Linked DNA regions of Saccharomyces cerevisiae S288C. Changing the gene in region 2 together with the main gene of any one other region gives a genetic interaction. Each region holds a gene or a part of one and is shown on either strand. Other genes may lie near its edges.

Evidence for each region.
Region 1: mutations in YCR023C (region 2) and RBG2 together harm fitness more than expected from each alone (negative genetic interaction), as found in Saccharomyces cerevisiae (one large-scale study listed by BioGRID).
Region 3: mutations in YCR023C (region 2) and YHK8 together harm fitness more than expected from each alone (negative genetic interaction), as found in Saccharomyces cerevisiae (one large-scale study listed by BioGRID).
Region 4: mutations in YCR023C (region 2) and GPI12 together harm fitness more than expected from each alone (negative genetic interaction), as found in Saccharomyces cerevisiae (one large-scale study listed by BioGRID).

The regions. Positions count from the first base shown.
Region 1 is NC_001139.9:842,210-846,713, reverse strand, and holds RBG2 (Rbg2p), read right to left. Parts: upstream 2,861-4,504; coding exon 1,754-2,860; downstream 1-1,753. Other genes in the region: YGR174W-A (uncharacterized protein), read right to left, coding at 1-59; CBP4 (Cbp4p), read left to right, coding at 309-821; transporter YIP1, read left to right, coding at 3,123-3,869; methionine--tRNA ligase MSM1, read left to right, coding at 4,163-4,504.
Region 2 is NC_001135.5:156,785-161,969, reverse strand, and holds YCR023C (uncharacterized protein), read left to right. Parts: upstream 1-1,596; coding exon 1,597-3,432; downstream 3,433-5,185. Other genes in the region: asparagine--tRNA ligase SLM5, read left to right, coding at 1-1,226; YCR022C (uncharacterized protein), read left to right, coding at 4,205-4,549; HSP30 (Hsp30p), read left to right, coding at 4,863-5,185. UniProt on the Saccharomyces cerevisiae protein: Outward-rectifying chloride channel involved in chloride homeostasis.
Region 3 is NC_001140.6:202,351-207,265, reverse strand, and holds YHK8 (Yhk8p), read right to left. Parts: upstream 2,660-4,915; coding exon 1,115-2,659; downstream 1-1,114. Other genes in the region: FSH1 (putative serine hydrolase), read right to left, coding at 73-804. UniProt on the Saccharomyces cerevisiae protein: Probable drug/proton antiporter.
Region 4 is NC_001145.3:830,248-834,543, reverse strand, and holds GPI12 (N-acetylglucosaminylphosphatidylinositol deacetylase), read right to left. Parts: upstream 2,206-4,296; coding exon 1,291-2,205; downstream 1-1,290. Other genes in the region: AEP2 (Aep2p), read left to right, coding at 1-1,188; DNA-binding transcription factor CAT8, read left to right, coding at 3,215-4,296. UniProt on the Saccharomyces cerevisiae protein: Involved in the second step of GPI biosynthesis. De-N-acetylation of N-acetylglucosaminyl-phosphatidylinositol.

The DNA.
Region 1 (4,504 bases), on a different chromosome or scaffold from region 2:
GCCTCCAACAGAAAAGGAAAAATGGCTTGATATGCTTCAAAATATGCATTGAGATTCATATTCGGTTATCAATTAACGATATTACTTCCTTAAGTGATATTAAATCAAGCTTGCCGGATTCTGCAGTCAGAATTATACATAATAGTATTTGTGCTCTCGTAAATCCTTTCAGAATTACACCATAGTAGTCTTTGTGAATGTTCTACTTATTAGAATAGATTATTGCTAGTTTATCTCACTTTTCATTCCCCATATCCCTTTTTTTGCTCATCCCCCGGGGTATTTTATCAAGATAAAATTTTATATACATGCAGTGCGCGATAACTCCTAGAGAGGCAGTAATAGCAAAACAAAGACAGTATAAGCATTATTTGGGTATGGAAAGACCATTGTGGGTACGTTGGTTGAAAGTCTATGCAATTGGTGGCGCTATTATTGGAAGCGGGTTTCTGCTTTTCAAGTACACAACGCCAACAGATCAACAGTTAATCAGCCAGCTTTCCCCAGAATTACGTTTACAATATGAGAGGGAGAAAAAACTACGTCAGTCGGAGCAGCAGGCTTTGATGAAAATTGTTAAGGAAACTTCTCAAAGTGACGATCCAATTTGGAAGACGGGCCCCCTTCAATCACCTTGGGAAAGGAACGGTGATAACGTTCAAAGCAGAGATCACTTTGCTAAGGTGAGGGCGGAGGAGGTGCAAAAAGAAGAGTTGGCTAGGATCAGAAATGAACTGTCTCAGCTAAGATCTGAAACGGAGGAGAAAACAAAGGAAATAGTCCAGGATAAGCAGGTTAAAAGCTGGTGGCGCTTCTGGTAGATGGGTCGGGTCACTCAATTAGGAAGGGCAGCTTGAACTTTTGCATCCTAAAACATACGTCTGTGTCATTTATGATATATTATTTATTTGTACACTGTAAATAGGTTTAAAAATATAACTTCATACTTATTTTTAGCTATTTTAGTTCCCATACTTGGGGATGGAAAAAACATTGCGCAAGCCCGGAATCGAACCGGGGGCCCAACGATGGCAACGTTGGATTTTACCACTAAACCACTTGCGCTTGTTATTTATATGAGATTATTGCATCATGCAATGGGGTAATGTCAAGGTTCTTGACAATCCTAATATAAACAGTCTTAGGGAAGTAACCAGTTGTCAAAACGGTTTATCAGCTTGATTCACGGGATCTTACTTATCCTATATATTATATAAAATATGGATCATACTAAATGGTGGAAGCGCGGAATCTTGGATCTAAACCAATTGTTCAGATACTTATACGTTAGAGTAGGTTAGCTAAGGAAGGCAGAGTTTTATTTTCATGTTGCTCATTCTGTTCGTTTTGCTGTAAGGTTGTTTCATATGTGTTTTATGAACGTTTAGGATGATGTATTGTCATACTGAGGTATCCCATTCTGAGATACAACAGAGAAGGTTCCTTTATACTTACTACACTAGGTACCACTATTATAATTTCGAGATTTCATTGTCATTCGGGTTTATTTATTCATTTGAAGCCCAGAATGACAATTTTTATGAACGGAGCTCTTCAAATTACATTATAAAAGTATATACGAATATACCATGAAAGTAACACCTTCCGGTTCTCACTAAAAAACCTATTTTCAGCATTTATTTCTACTACAAGGAAAATGAGTCCGTTTAGTCATGCAAAATCTCTGCTCCGTACTACAGTTCTCGATGCTGATCTTGTTTTTTCATGTTTCTTTAAAATCTATTCATTTATACTATTTCGCGAATAAAGAAACTACATCTTCATCATCAATCCTGTGGTTTAAGCCGCACTTCTGAGGAGAATGTTTGGCAGAAGAACCCCAAACCAATGCGTATTTGAACTTATCTTTGAAATCCCTGTGGATACCATGACATAAGTCACCAATAGTGGAATTATTTCTTACCACTAGAGGATCATCAAATACTGGTCTAACACCTCTCTTCTTTGTATACACACGACTCAAGTTCAGCTGGTACCAAATTTCTTCAACGACGTCTTGTAATCCCAAATCCATTTCACAGGACATAACAACGGTGTTTGGCTCTCTGGCAAGTTTATCCACCTCTTCTAATGATACTGCATCTATCTTATTATACACATAAAGACATTTGACATAATTTCTATGTTGTTCGTTAATAACATCGATAAAATCATCAATCGTACATTGGTCATCTCTTACCAGAACTTCTGCATTATGGATACGATAATCTCTCAAGATCATTTTGATTGCCTGTTCGGTTAAATTGGTCTTTGGAGGGGAGGTAAACGTAACTTTCACGCCACCAGTTTCTTTTTTCTTATAGTAAATATTTGGTTTCTCTTTATTAAGCCTGATGCCTACATTTTCCAGCTCCTTCTCCAAAGATGCTCTTTGATGTTCACTCTTTGTGGCATCTAAAACCATTAATACTAGATCTGCGGTCCTTGCTGTTGCAACAACTTGCCTACCACGACCTTTACCCTGCGAAGCACCATAAATAATACCTGGAAGATCCACAATTTGGATTTCTGCACCTTGGTACTTCAATACACCAGGAACGGATGTCAATGTCGTGAAAGCATAATGAGCGATCTCAGACTTGGTGGTGGTAATTTTACCCAATAAGGAGGACTTACCGACGGAGGGGTAACCTATTAAAACTACTCTAGCGTCACCTGATTTTGCCACTTCAAAACCAGACCCTCCTCCACCACCACTACCAGCTTCATCAGCTAGCAGTTGTTGTCTGTATCTAGCCAATTTCCCCTTCAAAAGACCCAGATGATGTTCTGTGGCCTTATTTTTTTGGGTTCTGGCCATTTCTTCTTCGATGGCTTTGATTTTGTCGATAATACCCATTTTGTAGTGCTTGTTACGTTAGTTTTGATAATGCGTATCTCGTTAGTACTTGTTCAATTCCAATATCAACAGCTTCAATATTGTACGACTTTTATAACTGGGTTTAAATCTCATCGCTATTATCACGAAAATTTTCACTTCGGGTAACCATTGATTATTTTGCTATTTGAGTGAGGTAACTACGTGACACGAACCAAGTCATCTTATAACAGCTACAAATTGGACGGGAAGTACTGCAAGACAACTATTAGTCCCTCTCGAGATGTCTTTCTACAATACTAGTAACAATGCTAATAATGGCGGTGGCTTTTATCAGCCTTCTGCACAATTTGCCGTTCCCCAAGGGTCAATGAGTTTTCAAAATACCGTCGGTTCTTCTAATACTGGCAACGATAACAATTTGGGTGTTGCCCCCGACCCTTTGCCTGTAGGTATTTTACATGCTCTTTCAACTAAGGGATATCCACATGAACCTCCATTACTGGAGGAAATTGGAATAAATTTCGATCATATCATAACGAAAACTAAAATGGTTCTTATACCAATACGTTTTGGTAGTGGTGTGCCACAAGAAATTCTAAACGATTCAGATTTGGCTGGGCCTTTGATATTCTTTTTGTTATTCGGACTTTTTCTATTGATGGCTGGAAAGGTTCATTTTGGATATATCTATGGTGTCGCTTTGTTTGGTACCATTTCTTTGCACAATCTATCGAAATTAATGAGCAATAACGATACTTCCACTCAAACGAACCTACAATTTTTCAATACAGCGTCCATCTTAGGATACTGCTTTTTGCCTCTGTGTTTCCTTTCTTTACTGGGCATTTTCCATGGTTTGAACAACACTACAGGTTATGTTGTATCAGTACTATTTGTAATTTGGAGTACTTGGACCTCGTCTGGATTTTTAAATTCTTTGCTCCAATTGCAAAATGCAAGATTGCTAATTGCCTACCCACTGTTGATTTTCTACAGTGTTTTTGCCCTCATGGTAATTTTTGTCTGAAGGGAATTGGCTTAGGGGCGATATTTGTATATATGTTTTTCTGAACTATGTTTGAATAAAGAGTGTATACAGCATTACATAATCACACTTACTTCCTTGTATAGTGCAAGCAATACCAGTACTAGGCAACATTGGATTACGAAGTGCCTTCTCTTTCTTTAAAAACTAAAACGTAGTCCAATGGTGGTTTCAAACAAATAAATCCGCACAACTGTGAAAAAAGAATGTAAATTTTAATGTTACTATTCTCCAGAGGTAAATAAGGAAAGCATAGGTTTTGATCGAAAGAAAACATGCAATGTCGATCAATTGTGCATCGTCTGTACTCTAAGGTCTCCCACGTAACGACGCCAATTTTCTATCCCAATGCCAAACCGCACCTCGGCCATCTTTACTCCAGCTTATTAAGTGACGTTTACCATCGATGGCAATTATTTAAAGGTAATCTATCCTTCTTTACCACAGGTACTGATGAACATGGATTGAAAATCCAGTGTGCTAGTGAAAGCAATGGCTTCGATCAGCCAAAAAAGTTCGTCGATAAGCTATACCCAGAGTTTGTTCAATTAGACAAAATATATGGCATTAATTATACAAGATTTATAAGGACTACGGATCCTGACCACATTGAAAAC
Region 2 (5,185 bases):
AAACTTTATCTATATCTAATGCTACCTGGCAAAGCACCCCTAATAGAAAACAACCTTTTGAATTGCAAATCAAAAATCCTGTCAAGTCAATTAAACTTGTGGGTCCCGTTTCAGAAAACTATCCATTACAAAAGAAATATCAAACCTTACGTTATTTAAGGTCCTTACCTACACTAAAATACAGAACCGCTTACTTAAGTGCAATTTTACGGTTAAGATCCTTTGTAGAATTCCAGTTCATGCTATATTTCCAGAAAAACCACTTCACCAAAGTTTCACCACCAATATTAACTTCAAACGATTGTGAAGGTGCCGGCGAGTTGTTTCAAGTCTCCACCAATACGTCGCCAACTGCATCCTCGTACTTTGGGAAGCCGACTTATTTGACTGTGTCCACTCAATTGCACTTGGAAATTTTAGCGTTATCACTGTCAAGGTGTTGGACGTTATCTCCTTGCTTTAGAGCCGAAAAGAGTGATACTCCAAGACACCTTTCGGAGTTTTGGATGCTTGAAGTGGAAATGTGCTTTGTTAATAGCGTCAACGAGCTAACATCGTTTGTTGAGACTACAATAAAACACATAATTAAAGCTTGTATAGATAACCAACAAGAACTCTTGCCGAAGCAATTTATCTCTTCACAAGAAAATAATGCATCGTCAGAGCTATCAATAAATCAAGAGACACAACAAATTAAAACACGATGGGAAGATTTAATAAATGAAAAATGGCACAATATAACGTATACCAATGCAATAGAAATTCTCAAGAAACGCCACAATGAAGTTTCACACTTTAAGTATGAACCTAAATGGGGACAGCCTTTGCAAACTGAACATGAAAAATTTTTAGCCGGAGAGTATTTTAAGTCCCCAGTTTTCGTTACCGACTATCCACGTCTTTGTAAACCATTCTACATGAAACAAAATTCCACTCCTGACGATACTGTTGGATGCTTTGATCTACTGGTTCCTGGAATGGGTGAAATAATTGGTGGGAGTTTAAGGGAAGATGACTATGACAAGTTATGTAGAGAAATGAAAGCACGCGGGATGAATAGATCTGGAGAATTGGACTGGTATGTTTCTCTGAGAAAAGAAGGAAGTGCACCACACGGAGGCTTTGGTCTAGGGTTTGAGAGATTTATCTCATACTTATATGGCAACCATAATATAAAGGATGCCATACCCTTTTATAGAACATCTGCAGAATCCATCGATTTTTGATATTCCATTTGTTTCTTATCTCCTTCTATGTATTTACTCACTGTTCACCATTCTTCCCCCCTTAAAAGTAAGCTTTATTTAAGACCATCCTTGTAAATATAATAATGTAGCATTTTTCTTCAATATGAAGGTACTAAACTCCATTTGGCATTCGGCCTGACCTATGTTAATTGACAAAGAATGACACATTCCGCTCATTGGAAATCTCGGATACGAAAATGCCAAAACAAAATATAACAAAAAGTATCTATCATTAGTAAAAAATACTATAATGGTCCTTATCCACAGAGCTTGAATTTAGATCACCTAAAGGAATGCTAGCAAAGGAACTAGGAAGTGGTAAGCATATGAACACACGAATATAAAAGATATGGCGCGTCAAAAGCTTACTTTCAAAGAACAAATGGATGGTTTCCCCTGGGTCCAACTTGTTGTTGTGTCCTTAGTTAGGTTCAGCGAACCAATTGCGTTTTCGTCACTATTTCCTTATGTTTATTTCATGGTTAGAGATTTTAATATTGCTCCCAATGATGCTCAAGTGTCCAAATATTCAGGTTATTTATCTTCATCATTTGCGTTATGCCAAGTCATATCTGCGTACCACTGGGGTAGATTCTCTGAAAAGCATGGCAGAAAAATAACATTGACTTGCGGGCTTATAGGAACATCTGTATCATTGTTAATACTGGGATTTTCACGCAATTTCTATCAGGCTTTGGTGGCAAGAAGTTTAATGGGATTGCTAAATGGTAACGTCGGCGTTATTAGAACCATTATTGGTGAAATAGCAACTGAAAGAAAACATCAGGCTTTAGCTTTCAGTACTATGCCTTTATTATTTCAATTTGGTGCCGTTGTTGGGCCTATGATCGGTGGGTTTCTTGTATTTAGAGATGGAACAATGAATGAAGTGCCACTATGGTTTCCACATTTTGCAAAAAGAATAATTAGGTCATATCCGTACGCCTTGCCAAACGTGGTAGTGTGCATGTTTTTGATGTTTGGTTTAACTAATGCAACATTGTTTTTGGAAGAAACACATCCTGCTTTTAAAGATAGAAGAGATTACGGTTTAGAGGTCGGTGATTTTATTAAGAAGAATATATTTGGTATACAGCCGAAAAGAAGACCCTGGCAAAAGCGCATTCAGGATGATTCGGAAAACATTCACCACCGTAATGAGAATGTGAACAGCATTCGAGGACAAGATAGTGAAGAGGATGAAAATAGTCCCCTAGTGAATACTACCAATGACGATGATACTGAAAGCATACAATCGATTGATCCTATTTTAACAAGAAGACAGTCTGTAGGCCTGATTAGGACATATTCTCTGCATGAACCAACAGACGCTGTGCATGCCAATATAGATACAGCTCCAGACGGTTGTAAAGAAAGTAGTATATTTCATCACGTTTTTCATACAAAAGTATTTTACCCTATATCGGTGAATTTTATTATGGCTTTACATTTGATTGTATACAACGAATTTTTGCCTGTTTTTTTAGCTTATGATTTAGCCGTAGATCCAGAAAATCCAAAGAAGCTGGCTTCAAAATTTCCGTGGAAAATATCTGGCGGTATAGGTTATGAACCAGAACAAACCGGTACTCTTTTGTCGACAACAGGTATCTTTGGTTGTTTTGTGGTTATTTTCATTTTTCCCATAGTTGATCGAAATTTCGATTGTTTAACAATTTTCAGAACTTTAGTCAAGCTGTACCCTATTATGTACGTTATGGTTCCTTACGTTGTTTTTCTACAGAATGAACGGATTCCTAGCTGGTATACTGTCGTCTACTTGTACATAATCACAGGGATAAAAACATTTTGTGGCGCTTTAACGTCACCACAAATTATGTTATTAATTCATAATTCGAGTCCCTTGAGTTGTAGATCAGTCATCAATGGCGCCACCATTAGTATTTCTGCCTCTGCTCGTTTCATAGGTCCCTTAGTATGGGGCTATATTATGTCTTGGTCCCAGCAAAATGACGTCGCCTGGGTCAGTTGGTGGTCGTTAAGTCTTTTTTGTATGGTAGCTCTTTATCAAAGTTATAAGATAGCACCAATTGATGATAACGAAAATGAGCTTCATGGACAGGGTAGTGAAGATGCCTACAATTCGCAGTCACAGTCTTCTGATTTAAGAATGGCTCATCGATCTAGTTTAAGCAGCTTAAGTAACCAACGCTGTACCACATGAGAAATTTTTTTTCAGAAGGCTTGCAAAAAGGATATCTAATAAAAAAAAAAATGAACTCCAGTAGATTTTAGATATCAACCATAACTGGCGAAAATTTGCACCTTTTTGATGAGAGCATGTTATGTCAAGGCATGGCCGCGTGATGGCATTGCACTCAAGATAGTTTCCGGAATTATTATACTCCTTATGTAAATTTCAATCCGTTTATGTAATTATATCCAGGAACTCAATTTGACCAGACAAGTAATGGCGCCCATTTTGAGCGAGAGAACCCATTTTTCTATACAAATTTCACTAGAGCACGGCCGTTACATTTAGTAATAGCCAATAAGGGTTTTTTATCGATTAGTGTTCCCTGCGCTCCTTAACATCATACAACCGAGTACTTGACATGGAGATAGTAGGCAAGTAAACCAAAGTCCTTTCTTCAAAAGTAGAAAACTTGAGCACTTATTTCCTGCGCATGTCATATGTTAATTTTCCTCAACTGCGCTGAATACGTCCTGTCAATTCAAATATATCACGTTGTGAGCAGCCCTGAAGAAGAAAACCTCAACAGCAGTATTACTATTACAATCAAACAACTTTAGTGCCGCGTGATACCGGGGGTTGAAGTGGGTGCATTGAGCCGTATTCTTCTTCCCCGTAAGAAAGTTGTGTATCCTTTTTACTGCGTTGTAATAGCTTCTGAAAACCTAAAAAATGAACGCTATGTAGCTCATATCCGTTTTGCATAAGTAAGAATAACTACTTGTGCAGGGTGCCGAAAGGGATGGAAAACCGCTGCAGCAACCCTTGTTACATACAGTCGGATCCATCTGACTTACTTTCCTTGCGTCTCCCTGCGCGATTTTGTTGGCCATTTTCCAGATCCTCTAGAATTTTTCAAGGGTCGAGCCGTAGGAGGATTCTCTCAGAAGGCAAAAACGCATCGAAAGCGTGCTTTGTAAGAATATTTGGTATGGCTAAAGTAAGCAAAGCCATATCCCGATCCCGATCCCGACTCTTATTCCGATCCCTTCCGCCACATCCTGCATGTTTATTCGAATACCAAATTAGCTCATCTTCGTTATTTCATCATCCCTTTCTGCTATGGCAAGGACAAGTTTTTTTCTAGCATCTCATCGAAAACTTTCCTCTCCCTAATTGGCCAAAGTTTTCATATTCATCATCAGTTAGAAAGTATAATATCAATCCCTTACCTCATTACAAGTTGTATCACACTAAAAAAATCATATATAAGTCTGTGAGAGTCTTCAATTATTTAGCGTAACACCTATTCACTTTCTAATCTTGTTTCTTGTTTTTACATTCTGCAATACAACACAACAACAAATATTAACTCAATTATTATTATTTATAATTACAAAAACAAAACAACAAGTTTGAGACTTTAATATCTTTTGATTACTAAAAACAACAAATTTCAAATGAACGATACGCTATCAAGCTTTTTAAATCGTAACGAGGCTTTAGGGCTTAATCCACCACATGGCCTGGATATGCACATTACCAAGAGAGGTTCGGATTGGTTATGGGCAGTGTTTGCAGTCTTTGGCTTTATATTGCTATGCTATGTTGTGATGTTCTTCATTGCGGAGAACAAGGGCTCCAGATTGACTAGATATGCCTTAGCTCCTGCATTTTTGATCACTTTCTTTGAATTTTTTGCTTTCTTCACTTATGCTTCTGATTTAGGTTGGACTGGTGTTCAAGCTGAATTTAACCACGTCAAGGTTAGCAAGTCTATCAC
Region 3 (4,915 bases), on a different chromosome or scaffold from region 2:
TCAGCATTTCACTCCACACACCCTGCGTGTGATAGTAAAAAGCTAGAAAGCAGGTAAGCAACAACCTACGATTTATTCAGAAGCTTCTTGTAAGGAAGAGGTTATTTGTTCAACAATTGGTCTGATAATGTCCTTCTTGTTTGGAACCATATGTCCACCAGGGTGTTCGTAAGCCAACACCTTTTCCTTATTACCATTTTGCGCCTTCAAATAAATATCGTACAGGTACTTGGATCTGACGGATGGGACGGCTTGGTCAGAAGCACCATAGATGAAGATCATCTTGGTCTTCATGTCTGGTTTTACCGCAAATGAGTCTCTGAATTTTTCGGTTATTCTCAATTCTCCAGGATGTTCTGGGTCTGGCTCGGTGAAGGAATAGCCGGAAATGACTACACTTACCTTGAATTGTGGATGGTCTGGAACTAACTCTGAGATCTTGTTGGTGATGATAGAGGACAATGCGGCACCTTGAGAGAAACCGACAATGCCGTCGTATGGGCCATTGGCCTTGATGTGATCAACAACAGACTTCAAACCTTCTGAGATATCCAATTCGTGAGAGATTTCGCTGTGATAGAACCAGGCTCTGTTAACATCCGCATCTAGGGTGGCTTGCCATTTTTCATCATCCATTTCAAATGGCAAGTCCTTCTTTTCTAAAAGGACTGGTGCATCAATATAGTCACATTGGACATTAGCCTTCTTCAATAATTTTCTAATACCAGATGATTTTTCGGAGAAAACTTTACCGTTTTGCAAGAAGCCGTGTAAAAATAATAATTTTGGAATTTGTACAGTCATCCTTCGTTTATTACAAGCTAGAGAGTTTCAGATTTAGCTGCTACTTTTACTAGAAAATTAAGATTGGCCGCGTACATCTGGCATTTTGCACCTTTATGGTTTATATACAATATACATTGCAGCCAAAAACATTCGAAAACTAGAGAAAAAGAAAGAAAACATGCGAGAATATGCAAAAATGAAAAAATGCAAAATTTCTTTTTTCTTTGGCCTATGCGTGTTGCCTTTTGAAGATCCGAAACAATCTATCACCAATGACGTAAGCGGGAAAAGATTATGCAACATCCAAAGGAAAAAATATGCAAAAAAATCAATCATCCCATGCATACGGCGACTTGGCTCTCAGTCGGGCACCGTATTTGGTAAACAGAAATGGGACAGGAATCATCGCTACGGTCACCATTGCCAAGAGAAAGCCGGCCCAATTCACTCCCATTGACTTGTACATCTGGAGTCCGAAAAGAGGGAAGACACCGGCCATTATGCATCTCACAAATGTGTTACAAGCCATTCCAGAAGCTGCATATCTTCTATAGGCATCCACTGTATACGCAAAAACACCGGTAAAGACGAAATAAACACCTGAACCGAAAATTGCACTGCCTATAATTGGTGCAATCCAATGGACATGCTTGTAGCAGGTGAATGCAAAAATGAAGAGCCCAACTGGGGTCAAAAAGGCGCCGTAGAACAGAGGCTCGAATCTCATTTCGGGAGTCTTGACGCCATTATTTCTTTTGACTCTCCACTCAAACGTTTTTTGGAATAACAAGCAAGTAGGAGCCGAGAGTATCATGCCGACCATAATACCGATATAGGAGCATGCAATCTCCATGGGCCCAAAGTTGTAAAGTTTCTTGAACACATAAGGAAACGCTACGAAATATAAATATATTATGGCAAGTTCCAATCCAGTATAGAAGCAAAGCACACCCATCATTCGGTCTCGAAGTAACAGGCCAAAGGGTCTTTTGGTTGAGAGAAAGATTGCGGAAAGTAAGGAAGTCTGTTCGCGGGTGACTTCCAGGACAGCATAATACCGTTGATCATTTTTCTCTTTCCTCAATCTCTTAGCTTTACGTATTAACAGCATTGGTTTGTAGGTTTCAGGTATGGTAAAGATGATCATAACGAGACAACATCCAGAAGTGATGAGAAGTGTGATAAATGTCCATTTATAACTTTGATGGTATAAGGCTCCACCAATGATTGGTCCTAAAGAGGGCCCCAAAAAGGCCGATGTAGTGTATATTGCCATAGGAATACCAATTTGGTCTTTGTCGAATATATCGGCAATGGCGCCGCCAGCCACACTTAGAAAGGCTGAACCAAAAAACCCGGATAGAAATCTGCCAAACATGACACCCGTAATGGTCTTGGACCAAATGGTCAAACACTGCCATATGATACTGAGCGTAAGGGCGTATAAAAATGTGATCCTTCGTCCATATAGTTCACTTAGTGGAGACAGAAATAAAGGTCCTATACCGAGCCCAAACACATAAAGCGTAATTCCCAGAGTGCTGACTTCGTGCGAAATATGAAAGTGTTCGATTATGTGCGTTGAAGGAAGCGTCCAGCTGGACGAGATCATCGTAATTACCATCGATGTGAATGTAATTAACGAGGAAATATAATACCGGCGGGCGGTGCTCATATGCCGTGCTATATCTTCTGGGTCCGCGATGTCCTCGTTGAAGGTCACTTCATGCGATTGTTTGCCGTCATTTTTTCGTTCACTGGTCAATTCCAGATCCAGTTTTGCGGCTTTGTCTGAGTTTATTGAACAATGCTCTTCTTCAGTAGATGTCAATGCCGATGACTGTGCACTCGCTATTTGAAATTCTGCAACCATATCCTGTTGTTATATCTGCATATATATGTTCTTAGTATACAAGGTGATACCATACACCAAATGTAAGGCAAATATGCCTTTATATAGGGTCCAGGTGAACGTAACGCATCTAATAACAAGTGTTATTGCTTGACCTAATAATCTGAGATGGTCGCTTCACCGGTAGAAAAATTCTCTGCGTATTACTAATCTCAACAATAGCCAACACTAAATCCGTAGGACCGGCGAAAAGCGTGCTAATCTCCGCTTTATTGCCGGATCCGAAAGGTGTTTCTGGCATCAAGATGTTATAAATCACGGAATTAAGAGAAGGATATTAAATGTGCCATTGCATTTTATTGATATTTCCACTCACCCAGAGGGATAATAATGATCAAAACAGATATACAATTCAGCTCCACTTTTACCTGCGCAACATGACATTTCCAGAACTAGCTTACAATTCGTACACCGGTTATAATTGGTTTATGGTTTCCAATGTAGGACCAATTTTTAGAGATAAATACTGAAGCAAATATTGGATTTCTTCTGTGTTTCACACGAAGAATATGAGTGAACCATTATTCCGGCTTTTGTTTCCTACAGCAAGATGTAAGTTATCTGGTTTGCTTATTACTTAGAAAAAGGGCTCCTGCTGGTGGAGGTAAATTAGATTATGCACCTATCGGCGGGTTAGCGTTGGGCCGTAGCCTTTTGGTCGCTTGCATTTACCACGTATTTTTTCCTTTCAATTTATTATAAGCTTAGAGATACGATTTCAAGGCGCAGCTCTTCTGTTAGCAGTTTTCTCTACGACTTTGTATGAGGTTCATCTCATTTTGTTAGCTTCTATTCACATACCTACTATAACACTAATCCTGCTATGGTTCAGACCCAAATATCTTCAACCCCTGCCATAGGAACTGTAAAAAATAGATTGTAATTCAAAGTACCTTCAGAAAAAAAAAGTTATATACGGCGCATACTACACAGTACGCAATGTGTCACTTGGTACCGCTGTTCTTATGTTCGTTTAAACAAGATCTCGAGGTTTGAGTCAATGTACGAGATTTTGAAACCATGAGGGATGTGCCCTCAAACTTTATGATCTGGTTTCTTTTTTTATTTATATCGTTTTTATGCTGGGTTACGTTGTTGTTTTATATTCCTTGTCTAGTATTACGGTCAGCAGAGGCCAAATCCTATATGCATTATATGTGGTTAGCATTGACTCCTTAATAGAACGGCCAGTTATCAATCAAATTGCCTATAAGCATGGATCACTAGCGGCTAGTATTGTATTGCATTTGGAATAGCCCTCTTCGTTGAGCCACAAAGATATCTTGCGGAAATGTGGCTAAAGCAACTTTTGATGATTGCTGGGAAACGGTTTGGTAAACTGCTGAAGCAATTGTTGTACACAATACTTCTGCTTTTGGCCCCATCTGGATTTTTCATTTCCGCTTTTGCCTCAGGTGCAACAATAACTATCTTTGAGCATCGTACCACCAATACAAAAGGATATGATCGTTATCATACAGAATTTTTCATGGATTTTGCATGTTTCGGTATAACTTTACGTAGGTGAATTATTGAAGGGCTTTGTGATAGGTGTGGATGTACCTGCCGTGCGTTGATGACCTTCAACTGATCGGAACAAATTGCTATTACATGTAAAAATCTCATGTATGAGCGAATCTTTTTGTGTTATAGGCAATCACCTAGAAAAGCTTGGAAATTGGTCCTGAGTTTTTTGTTGATGGTAAGTGCATTTTTTTAGTATGAAAGGTTTACGATATTAGCTGCTAAGTTCTCCCTTGCCCTAGTGAATTACGTTTTTTTCGATTAAAAGGGTTGGTCCCGAAATTGACCTCTTATATGTACCTCAATTGCAGATAGCATCAAATTTAGACTACGTCATCAACCAAATTACACCCTATGAAAAACATAAGATTATAAGCATGCGTTTGTGTAAAGGTCATACCATTTTATACGTTGACGCAATGGTGCAAATAGAAAGGTTTACGAAAGCTCTTATTCCGCTTAGCGCAATTCTATTGTTAATTTCAAGTAAAAAGATAAATATCTCACGTCCTTATATTATCTTTGATTAAAATTTCACGATCAATGTAACGAAAAAAGGTCGCAAATATTTCTTTTTCATCACTCTGATTAAACAATGGCATCATGAAACGCTCATTGGATCGTTACACGTTCTCATTGTACATATGTATGATTTAGAACAGCTTGTTCGCCTGATCTCCACCTTATACCCTC
Region 4 (4,296 bases), on a different chromosome or scaffold from region 2:
AACCAAGTTAACTTACGGAATACGAAACTAGATGCATGTGAAATATTTGATGCAAATCTTATGATCAAGAACTTTATAGAGCTCGGTCAATTAGGTAAGGCTCAAAAAATTTTAAGCTTTATTCTTGATAGAAATCCTGATATATTACTGTCTCCGAAAAATGCAGATATTAGCACAATAGTTCACTTTTTACAACTGCGTTGTGGCGCTTTGGCGCCTTATTGGAAAATACCAGATAATAGTGAGCAAAAACAAGGTTTTTTAAGAAAAATGGTTCGACTAGGTGCGAAAAATACGTCAATTCGTCTTTCTTCTACTTACAAAGCCATGGATCACCAAACATTATTAAAGATTGCTGATCTTGCTCTGCAGGAGAAAAAGCTTTTGAATTCCGAGGATTTGTTGTCCACTTTAATTCAATCCTTTGGACACCTAGGCCAAACCCAAATATTGGAACGGTGTATTGAACATATATGGCAAATATCACCCCAAGAGTTTCCTAGTCACGTAGTAATTAAGCACCGAGGGTGCTATCCTAGTTCCAAAATACTCGTTTCAATCTTAGTGTCATTCTACTTTAATGACCACGATCTTCACAGAGGCCTAAGTATTTTGGATTCATTCATAAAGCACTATCCGGACGTGAAATTGGATGCGCTATTTTGGAGAAGGCTGTTTCAGCTAAGTCATTTTGCTTGGACACCAGCAAACGACAAGAAAGCCACTTCTGTTGTTAGATGTTGGCATTTAATGAAGCAGTGGTATGCATCTAAGCGGCTAAGGCCTTCAGTTGATTATGAGACGTTGAGACAACTGTACGATATCATGAAGAAAACAGGCAATTTCCCGCTTGGAATTGATGTTTTAAGGAGTTTCAAACCGGGGATCGAAAGAACGAGAGCAGAAAATGCTGGAAAAGTTAACAATATCATTATCAAATACCAAAAATGTATTATTAAGGAGCTTGTAAATAGAGGTAGATTTTCAGCGGTAAGGGAATTCATTGATAGTTATGGTTTTGATAGAAAAATGACCAAAGATTTGAATATTTTTTGTGCGAATCGTATGTTTCTAAGAAGTAAGAAAATGAAAAACAAGATTGAGAACAAAAAGGAAAGGGAGAAAGTGCGGCTAGATAGTTTCGATGACGATGAAGATGATGGTATGATTATAGGTAGCCTTTGGTAAGAAAAGTGTAAGTAGAATTAGCATTTATTTTTCTCCATATTCTTATTCTATAGGATGTAAATAATATGGGACTTTTTTATATATATATCTACAGTGTAGAGTCTAATATGTATAAACATCAAATTCATTAACGAAGACAAATCTGGAAAATATCCACCATCCGTATCTAAACCACACAACTTGGGATTCGTGAGCATTTAGCATAGTGGCAAACGCTAGTACGTATTGTGCATGTGTATTCATAAGTGAAAGCTTGTCTTTTTCGGCGGCTGTGTTAGGCGGAAGCGCCTGAATTATTCTACGGAATGGAGAAATCAGGTCGTAAAGTATTTTTAGGATTTCCCAAATAAAGGAGTTGTACTTTAAAACGATGTTGTTCTTGTAGCTTCTCAAATAAAGCGCAGTGACATGAGGTGGTTGTTCATTTCTTTTGGTCTTAGGTTGAGCATAATCATCCACCAACTTTTTAACGGCAGCATAACAGCTTTTGTGGTTGATATGATTTGATACACCATATGAATCAAAGGTAACGATAATCTGGTTCAAGTTATGATTCTTTATATCTATCTTTTGTGAAAGAGAAGAAGTTATAGAATCAATATCCCATATTTCGTCCATACCATCCTGGAAATCCATCACCTGTACGGAGACTGCTCTTTCATTGTGTAGCAATAAAGCGGCCGACTCATTTAATTCTCTTACCCTGGTTTCGCCAAGACCTTCGGCGTTGCCCTTTGATAAGCAGATTATGTTAAATGGGACGGTTCTCGGAAAGTACGAATTCAGTTGAGAAATTATGGGGGAAAAAAACATAACTTCGTCGTCAGGGTGCGCTATGACCAAATTGATTTCATAATCGCCATATTTATGAGGAAAAATATGCTGCAATGATGCATTGTTTCGGGAGACGATTTTGGGCGTAAAATAAATATATAGGATCGTCAGTACTATTGCTAGTTTAGTAATCTTGTAAAGCAATTTTGAAAAATTTACCTTTGTACGCCTCAACATCTTCATTTAACTTTTCTTCAGGGTTTGAAAGAATCTAATATACGGCTCTAGCGTCACCTATCTACACTTAACAATTCGATAAATAAGGAGGGCAATGCAAGATTATAAATAAAAGCGCAGCGTCGATTTTCCTTTTTCTATGACGTTAACGTAACTAGTAAACCTTCTAGAAGGGACGACTCCAATGAGATAGAAACGGCGAAGCGGGAATTTAGGAGTACTTGTTACCCGGCTACTAGTTTATTTCATACAAACACATTGACACATTCGCACATATACATCTACGAGAAATTACTGAATGTGAAAAGGATCAGAGGCAGTTAAAAGAGGTAACAACTTTTATCATCAGATTGTGATACGACTTATACTATTGAATGTGTATGATTACACAACTTTCCTTCTGCAGAACATTTTTACATCTGTTAAGATGGTGCAACATTTCTTTTTATTAGCACATTACTTTTGATGAAAGAGTATATTCAGTTATCGTAGCTCCTCTCACTTCTTTCTATCCGGTGTTTATTCGCGATATGAGTTGTGATATCAGAGACAGAGAGAGTTTATGTGCGTAACAGGAACGGAGAAAACCAGAGTAATTGAGTATTATAAGCAATAAATCATAAAAAGACATTCTTTCTCGTGCAATTTTTTGGTATTCGGGATAATCTTCTACTTGAAACTTCTTTTTTTCGGTGTTTAATTTGCCTATTGGTAAATATTTTTGCCGCCGAGGTTCTCAGTGATTATATTCGTATTAAGCGATAACCGAGACATGCATGGAGCGGCGGGGCTGATATTTTGTGGGGTACGAAAGCATGATTGGTCAGTGACACTCAAAAAAAGAAAACAGCCGTAAAATAGTAGATTTTGTTAAACTCCCCTTTAAACCTGTGATATTGTAAAAAGACGAAGAATTTAATAATTTAATAATTCATTACGGTATTTATTTCTTCATAAACAGTTACAACACCCTAAAGAGAATTTACAAGTTGAGTAAAAGACAAGACACAAAATTATGGCAAATAATAATTCTGATCGACAAGGTTTGGAACCCAGAGTCATTAGAACTCTGGGTTCACAAGCGCTTAGCGGTCCTAGCATATCTAATAGAACTTCAAGTTCGGAGGCAAACCCTCATTTTTCCAAGAACGTGAAGGAAGCAATGATCAAGACAGCTTCTCCGACTCCTTTATCTACACCTATTTACAGGATAGCTCAAGCTTGTGACAGGTGTCGATCTAAGAAAACAAGGTGCGATGGAAAAAGACCACAGTGTTCGCAGTGTGCTGCTGTCGGATTTGAATGCAGAATAAGCGATAAATTACTGAGGAAAGCGTATCCAAAAGGGTACACAGAAAGCCTGGAAGAAAGAGTACGCGAACTGGAGGCAGAGAATAAGCGTTTGCTAGCTTTGTGTGATATCAAAGAACAGCAAATAAGCCTTGTTTCACAGTCGCGACCACAGACATCAACGGATAATACCATAAATGGCAATTTCAAACATGATTTGAAAGATGCTCCATTGAATCTGTCTTCTACAAATATCTATTTATTAAATCAAACGGTTAATAAGCAGCTACAAAATGGCAAAATGGATGGTGATAATAGCGGTTCTGCAATGAGTCCATTGGGGGCACCACCTCCACCGCCACACAAAGACCATCTTTGTGACGGCGTTTCCTGTACAAATCATTTACACGTCAAGCCTACTTCTACGAGTTTAAACGATCCAACCGCTATATCTTTTGAACAGGACGAGGCACCTGGTCTTCCTGCGGTAAAGGCATTAAAATCAATGACGACTCATCAACGTAGCACTCAATTGGCAACTTTAGTTTCTTTATCCATCCCAAGATCTACTGAAGAAATTCTGTTTATTCCTCAGCTTTTAACTAGGATAAGACAAATATTTGGTTTCAACTCAAAGCAATGTTTGTATACGGTTTCATTATTATCTTCATTGAAAAATAGATTGCCAGCACCACGGCTTCTAGCACCTTCAACATCAACCAAGTTAAAGGAGAAAGATGAAGATAAAAAACTTGATGATGATTCGGCTTTTGTGAAAAGGTTTCAAAGCACAAACCTCTCCGAGTT